Linked DNA regions of Oryzias latipes. The protein of the gene in region 1 purifies or fractionates together with the protein of each later gene. This does not show direct contact. Links are inferred from orthologs where the notes say so. Each region holds a gene or a part of one and is shown on either strand. Other genes may lie near its edges.

Region 1 (4,192 bases):
GTGCTTCATAAAAAAAAGTTGTTCTTCCTTTTATGTAATTTATTTTCTTGCACCTTACTGAACAATAAAAATATAAAGTACAAACCACAAAAAATACTTTTCAAGCGCATGAACACGTCTTAACTATGACAATAACATGTTCTAAACACGGTCTAAGATTAATGTGCTGCCGTGCTTCCCAAGTTCAAAATCCAAAAAGCAAATGCCAATAAAAGACACGGCAGCTCCCAAAATGCACCTAACCAATAGGAAGCCAGATCAGCTGCATGGCCAAGGAATGACAGGCGCATGCATGCACGAAATCTAGTAAATAACCTAAACTCAGACAAATGGCTCCAACAGAGACTTTAAAAGCTAATAGGCACAAAAAAGGTTCATGATTTTTAGATAATTACTGTCATAGAAATGTAGAGAAAAGATAAAGCAACACTAGGTCAGTACTTTCAGAGGTGAAAAACACAACTGCAGATTCACAAAGCTATTTATTCAAAATGGTCTACTTTGATGTGTAAAAAGATTATCATGGCTTGGTTGTTAATATTTGCTTTAAATATAAACTGTGTCTAATTTGTTATGCTAGTTTATGTTTCTAATGTTTCCAATTTGTCACTGTTCTGATTTGTATCAATTTTACCCTTAACACCTGTTTTATGAACACACTTTTTTACATTTTATTTGAAAACTGGACTTTTATTGTCCTTTTTCTCTGTTTTAACTACTTTTAATGTTTGCTGCTGGTCAGCTGTGAAAAAGATATATTGTTCTCAATGGATTTTAATTCGGTTAAATAAAGTAATGATCCACTAGATTATATTATAAATACCTAAACCTGTGCATAGGCCACTAAATTAAGGTTTTTGATAGTTTTAGATTGTTCTCTAAGTTGCTGCACAGAATAATACAAACAAACCTTTTTAGTGTTATTCTAGAACCACAGTTGGACTTCTTTAATATGAACCTACCACGCCATTGACAGAGAGCAGCTGGTCGCCTCTTTTGAGACCTCCATGTCGATCAGCAATGCCTCCTGGGATAATCCGGGAAATGTAAATTGGAGAATTTTGCTCCTTGCCACCCATTATGTTAAAGCCCAGACCCTCTTCTGTTTTGGGCAGCTCCACCACGCGCGGATGCGAGTGTCCCTCACTTGCTGCAAAAGCTGCCACTGTAGCCTGCAAATAGGAAAGTGTTATTTAGTCCTCAAGACACAATACCAACCGTTCAAACACATCTTCTTTAAGGAAACATAGTGAACCTAAATAAAAGAAAGAGAGATTAAACCTTAGCTGTGGCGTTGGCTCTGACCTCAGGACTGCTGTTGATGTCCACAGTTTCGTACACATGCTCATATACCTAAGCATACATGAAATACATAAAATGAACAAAAAAATCTTGATAATAGGGGAGAAAAAAAGACAAGTGATGGCAATGTCTCACTTCTCTGACAGCATTGCAGAATTCACTTTGCAAGACCCTTTGCAGAGCCTGCAGCTTCTGAGGAGGAACCTCCCCTGTCCTTTGAAGCTTATCCAGAAGTTCAATGGCTCGGTTGATATCTACAAGGAACAACATGTACAGCACGTTCACAGATTTCAAGTCTCAACAACAATAGTTTTTATTTCTCCTATTACTGTCCAAATCAGGAACTCCACTTTAATCAGCTACGATCTATCACACAAGATACCCACACAGTGGTTTCCATTTTTACAAAAGCCACTCCTTAACAGCCACAAAGACTGATGGTAAAAAATATATAAAAAATATTGATAATAAATAAATAAATAAAAGGAGGGAAAAAAAAGAAACCAACCTCTAATTTATAAAAATTAAATATGGTCCCTCAATCAAAACAGAACTGCAAATACCTGTACCTGTAACTCGGTTACCGTACTTTTTTATGCTGATATCTGTCAAAGTTAGCAATTAAAAATAAAATTATGCATAAAGACTAGTAAATAATATAGAACTGATAACTGGTTAAAAACGTATCAGTTTAACTCTGTCCTTATGTTCTTGAAACAATTTAAAGCTAGTATTTATTATTAAGGCAAAAGTAGAGTTGCAACAAAATATAAACGTTTGCCTAAGTTTACTTAAAGCCAACTAGATAAGTCATTCTTACTTGCTAACCATTTTTATTTAAAACTATATTTTTCATTTAACGACGTTAATAACGAGGTGATTTCAGGACGACATTAGTAGTACTTATGGGCACGTTCAAACCCAATTTTAAAATGTTTTAGATTTGATCACAATGAAAACTAAAATATCGACAGTTTTTACTTAATTTTATCTTTATTTTCTAAAAACGAACAAAAAGTCAGAGAAATGAAATACAACATTAGGACGCCGAAGTCAAATGAGAGCGCTGGCCAATCTCTGTTGTTAGCTAAAAAGAGCAAACCAAATACAACGCTTAAGCAATAGTTAATGTAACTCGACGACATAAAAACACTTGTGGTCCAAAGCATACTTTAAACGAGACGTTATCCAAATAAAACATGAAAAACACCATTTGTTTTAACCAAGCAATGCTATGTATGTAAGCTAGGTGTGTCCATCTCGTTTCACAATAAAGCCAGTTAGCCAATTAACGTTACCCCTTTCCAGTCGCACAGGCTCCCCCAGTGATGCCATTCTCGATGTAATAAATAAATTGCACCTTTAATCTACACAGCAACAAAAAGCGAGTTAGGATAACTAAAACTGGTAATCCTGACCCACGTTTCCTGCGCTTAACTGAGACGATAAATCAGATTAGCCAGGTTAGCTAGGCTAGGCTAGATGCCAGTGCCATGATGCGTTAAAGGAACCTCGTAAAACAGATTGACCACACTCGATATCAGACATAAATCAATTTCTTTTAATCGATTAAAATAAAATGATATGTAGATTAATTATTTTGTTTTAAATATCATAATTTGTTCAATTGACCACTTAAAATCCACATAACATTTAATATACAGACAGACGTACCGGATTACCCATGGCTGAGAGCTATTTGCTTTACTTTCTTGGTGAGAGCTATTTGTTTACTTTCTTCTTGTTTTAAAGTCACTCCCTTCTTATCAGTACAATCAATTGCTGCAAATCTAAATGTATTTCTTATAATAAAATATGTGCAGAATAAACTGTGAATCTGACTGAAACGTTTATTTAAAGAGTTAGGTCCATCTGCACAGCAAAGCTTGGTGGGTAAATGGCAGAGCAGGAAGACCGGCCAGTGAAATTCTGAGACCTGATGTCCCTCTACTGCCCCCCAGTGGTAACCTCCAGCACTGCTTCCATTCTTGACATTAATCAGCTGTGAGGTACTGCTTTACAGGCCTTTATGGGCTGAAATCGTTCACTTTTCACCTAACTTTAGCTGGTGTAGTAGCAGTAATGATTTATTCTTTTTATTTCCATTACTATCTTAGCTGTATTTAATCTATACAATCTTACAATAGAGTTATTTATGATGCATGATGCTAGAAAACTGATTTTTTTTTTACTGTTTTGTGCAAACCTGAGCTTGAACCTGGCTTGATAAAGCACGATTTCCTTCCTGTCTTTATGGGGTGTAATTAATACATGTCAGTTTCCGCTTGCTGGTACATTGTTAAACAAAAATGCCCAAGGCATCTACTGAGCACAAATGAAGAACTCCGTCTACCTTACCAACAAAGAATCCAAAAACTGTTGCTTCTTGTCCTTGAGGATGTGTTTCTGCACGAACATGACAAATGTTGTGGAATTCCTTCATGAGCACGCCGACTTCTTTTCTTCAGAATTATCACTTAAATTGATTGGTTTTCTTTGGACTCGACCAAAAATCTTCAGTTCTGCTCTTCTCTATTGGATAGCCTTCTCTCCAAGGTCCATGTTGTAACAGTGTGCCCTTGATCCATCAAATGCCTGACTTACCTCCATGTGTTTGAGGAAGAAGTAAAATCAAATACTTCAGGATAATTTCTGATTTCTATTCATTTTTAAAACTGCATTTTAAAGTTTTTTTTAAATTGGTCATACAGAGATCAACGTGATTTAGTTTATCCCACTGTGGCTTTAAACTAAGGTGCTGATACTTGGTAAACGGGGATTTCTCGTCTGCCAGAGGAAAAAAACTGACAGAGCGGCTGCTCTCTTTTAATCAAGATGCCAAGAATCGCTTTTGTGCTGGATCACAGTGAGTGTTTTGTCAAAGGAAAAG
Region 2 (3,567 bases), on another chromosome or scaffold:
CCTCCACCTGATCCCCGCTCTCTCTACAACTGAGTGAGCCTATGTAACGGATCAAAACACCACTTGGAAGAGTTGCCAGATAAAGCCCCCCAAGCAAGCAAAAAGTGACAGTACACAGCAAAACCTGAATCGAAACAAAGTAAAAAAAAAAAACCTTGTTTGAACAAAAAATTCTTGTTTTTTTGTCTTGCATGAAAAATTATCTTTTAAGAAAGTTCTTCAACAAATTGTCGAAGGGAAAATCTTAGTTTGATAGGTGAAAACCATTACTGTCACATTACTGGCCTTTCAACAAGCAGAATAGTGTTACCAATCGATGAATAAACAGAGTGGTTTTGGCGAAATGAACAAAGAATTGGGAGAAGAAGACGCTAAAAGAAAAACGATGTTGCACACAATCATAAAGCAAAGTTGTGGGCGATGTTTAGTGTCTATATTTTGCACGTTTGAAAGGCAAACAAGCACAACTTTACACACAAATGCCTGCAGTAATTGTTTTAAAGAGAAGTTGACATAGCAAAAGATGACAAAAAGAAAGCTTATTTTCTGCTAATGTGAATTTGTTTGACACAAGAAACAACTATAAAGAAATAGGCTATCCCACATTCAGCGCTACAAAGTTTGTAGTTTAAATGACACACCAGTTAATTTATCTAACGCTGACATTTGGTCTTTTTGTCATCAAAAAGTCACATTTTTACCATCAGCAGAGATACAGATTTGAGGCAACAGCCTGAACATCCCACCTCAAAGGGTTTATATCATGCATAGTGTACTTTTTGAGCTTTTAAGTTCCTGAAGGTGCATAACGGTGTGTAAACACCTACAGATACCAGCCGGTCTCCTTTGCGCAGCTCTCCAGAAAGGTCAGCTGGCCCCCCAGCTAAGATGAAGGAAATAAAGATGCCCTCTCCGTCCTCGCCACCCACAATGTTGAATCCCAGTCCGGTCGCCCCTCGGTGCAGAACCACCTTCCTCGGCTCCCTGTGGGGCAACCATAGCTATAAATTTGTGGAGGTCAGAATAAAATAAACAAAAATCAAGAATGCAGCCTCATCTTCCTCTCCAGTAGGCCAGAGGGTTACAAAGCCCACACTTGCAGTTACATTATAGTCGTCTTAATCCTTTATAGCTGAAGCCGAGTCTGTTTAGGCAGAGATTACTTTGAAGGTCACCTCATGTTTCTATCACAGAGAAACCCAGACCAGTTAAGAAAAAAGTAGCTGTAGCAGTCAGATGATATTTTTCTCTTGCATAAATTGTGATGAGGTGGTTGAATGAGGCTTTAATTGTAGGGTGGTAACATTAGGACAAACAGCTAAACATTGGGAATGATCTGTGAATCAATCAATCAACCATTTTGAATGAATATTTATGCGCGTGTTCTGCCGTACTCACCGAGTGACACCGTCGTCGTCTGCTAGCGGGCTCATTGGTGTGGGCGAGTAGCATCCCGAGGATCCTCGTGGTTGAAGCTGGTGACTTACAAAATTGGGGGGGCTGATATGATTCTCCATGTGCTGTGAGTAAGCTGGAAGAGACAGAGCATTCGTGAACCAAAAACGTGTGCGCCAGTAGAAACACCCATTTGGATGAGATGGGAGCTGCAGAATAGGGGGTAAAGTGAACCTAGGAAACTGGAGACGGTCTGATCGGTTTACAGCAGACAGGTGAGCTCCAGCTGAAACACCAAAGGAATCCTCTGCAGTTTAAACTCCAAACAAACCTTTTTGTCTTATAGAATCACAATTCCAAGATTCAAAACCTTGCTTTTCATTTCAGTCAATTAAACAACAACATTTTGTATACCTTTTTGGATATGCATTTGATTGAAAAAAAAAAACTGGGGAAAGATGAAAAACAGATGAATAATGTAAAAACAGGTCAAACAAATAAGTAATAAACATAAATAAAGGGAAGTGCAACCAAAGGAAGAAACAAAAAGCTTTTTTTACTACTGTATGGAAAAAATCCTTTCGTAAAAATACTGAATACAAGGTTCACGTCACCAAGGGTCTATCTCGGGACCGAGCCTAGGGTTGGCCTTCCCCCGAGCTCACAAGGAAGGTCTACAAGGGGCTGGTGCCGCAACAACCCAATCCTCAAAAATGGACTAATCATCGGGACATGGCCTGTTACCTCCCTAAGTGGGAGGGACCCTTAGGTTGCAGAAGGGTGAGGGTCCTGGGTAAAGATAGTTGGGCATGCGCCTCTTCAAAGTTTGGACTCTAAAACCCAACCTTTTGAGAGGGCTAGACTCTCAGGAGAAGCAAGCAGTTCTCTGCCACTACCGTCTACAGTGTGGGTGAGGAGCTGTTGACCTTGAACAGGGAAATGCTGAGAGGTGGAAGAATCTCCTTAATTCTGTTGACATGATTTCATAAGAAAATAGTATCTGGGGAACCAGAAGTGGGCCAATCCGTCCCCCAAGCTGTAGTCAAATGGAGAGTGTCAAAAAGCACATCGGTTGCAAGGTACTGGAGACAGATGAGGTCCACCCTTACTACCTCAAGTCTCTGGATGTTTTGGGAGCGTCTTTGACGGCATTCCTTTAGGACATTGCCTGGAAGTTGGAGACCTCTGATCTAGCAGATCAGGGTGGTGGTCCCTCTTTCAAGAAGGGGAACCAGAGGTTGTCCTTCAACAAGAGGGAATCTCACTACTTAATCTCTTTACCCTCTCTTTTGAATCACACGCAGACCAAGTTACAAAGACTGCCTTTTATCACCTTAGAAATGTTGCCCAAGTGAGATCCTTTCTCTCTAAAGCCAGTGCTGAAATATTACTCCATCCCTTTATAACATCTAGGATAAATTATTGTAATGCTCTTCTTTCTGGTGTTAAGAGAAATACTTTCAATCGACTGCAGCTTGTTCAAAATTCGGCTGCATGCCTTTTAACTAGAACCAGAAAGAAGGAGCACATTACTCCAATTTTGAAGTCTTTGCACTGGCTCCCAGTCAGCTTTAGGATCGCTTTTAAGGTTCTTTTATTAGTTTATATAGGTTTACATGGACCTGGATCCTCATTTTTATCAGATTTACTTATAGTCTATGACCCTCCCAGAGCCCTCAGGTCCACACTAAAACCCACAGCGAGGCCTCCTTTCAGCACTGTGGGCCTCGCCTGTGGAACAGCCTGCCTGCCTTCAGCCACTGTGGAGGTTTTTAAGAAAAAACTTAAAACACATCTTTTTACTTGTCCACATGTTTTTACTTGATTTTATAAAACAACTAATTTGATTTGTTTTGATTTTAATGTTGGGATGTGTATGTGTTGGGTATTTGTGTGTTTTATTAATTCATATATTTTTTATTATTATTTGCATTATTAGCATGGCTTTTTTAAGTTAAAAACCCGATGTTATGTACATTCTGAGAGCAGGCAGCTACGCGATAACGTAGCACACCGGATGACCATCCAGGGGTAGTGTTGTCCGAATTTGAAGACACTATTTTTCCATAAACTTTCGCTTGAAGGGCTAAATGTAGGGGCAGAGAGAAGCCGTAGGGGTAGGGGAAGAATTCAAGAGGGTTGCCCTTAGTCACCACTAGGTGCCGGAGAGAA

What was found.
Region 2: the proteins of lin7c (region 1) and discs large homolog 1-like protein purify together in Homo sapiens (affinity purification with mass spectrometry; 4 studies listed by BioGRID and IntAct, counting the BioPlex papers as one, with this or other methods). This does not show direct contact. The link is inferred for Oryzias latipes from reciprocal best matches to the Homo sapiens genes LIN7C and DLG1.

What each region holds. Positions count from the first base shown.
Region 1 is NC_019861.2:17,902,462-17,906,653, forward strand, and holds the start of lin7c (protein lin-7 homolog C), read right to left. Parts: upstream 2,812-4,192; 5' UTR 2,638-2,811; coding exon 2,601-2,637; intron 1,557-2,600; coding exon 1,438-1,556; intron 1,354-1,437; coding exon 1,282-1,353; intron 1,173-1,281; coding exon 963-1,172; intron 1-962. UniProt on the Homo sapiens protein: Plays a role in establishing and maintaining the asymmetric distribution of channels and receptors at the plasma membrane of polarized cells.
Region 2 is NC_019875.2:12,823,934-12,827,500, reverse strand, and holds part of discs large homolog 1-like protein, read right to left. Parts: intron 1,532-3,567; coding exon 1,399-1,531; intron 985-1,398; coding exon 828-984; intron 1-827. UniProt on the Homo sapiens protein: Essential multidomain scaffolding protein required for normal development. Recruits channels, receptors and signaling molecules to discrete plasma membrane domains in polarized cells.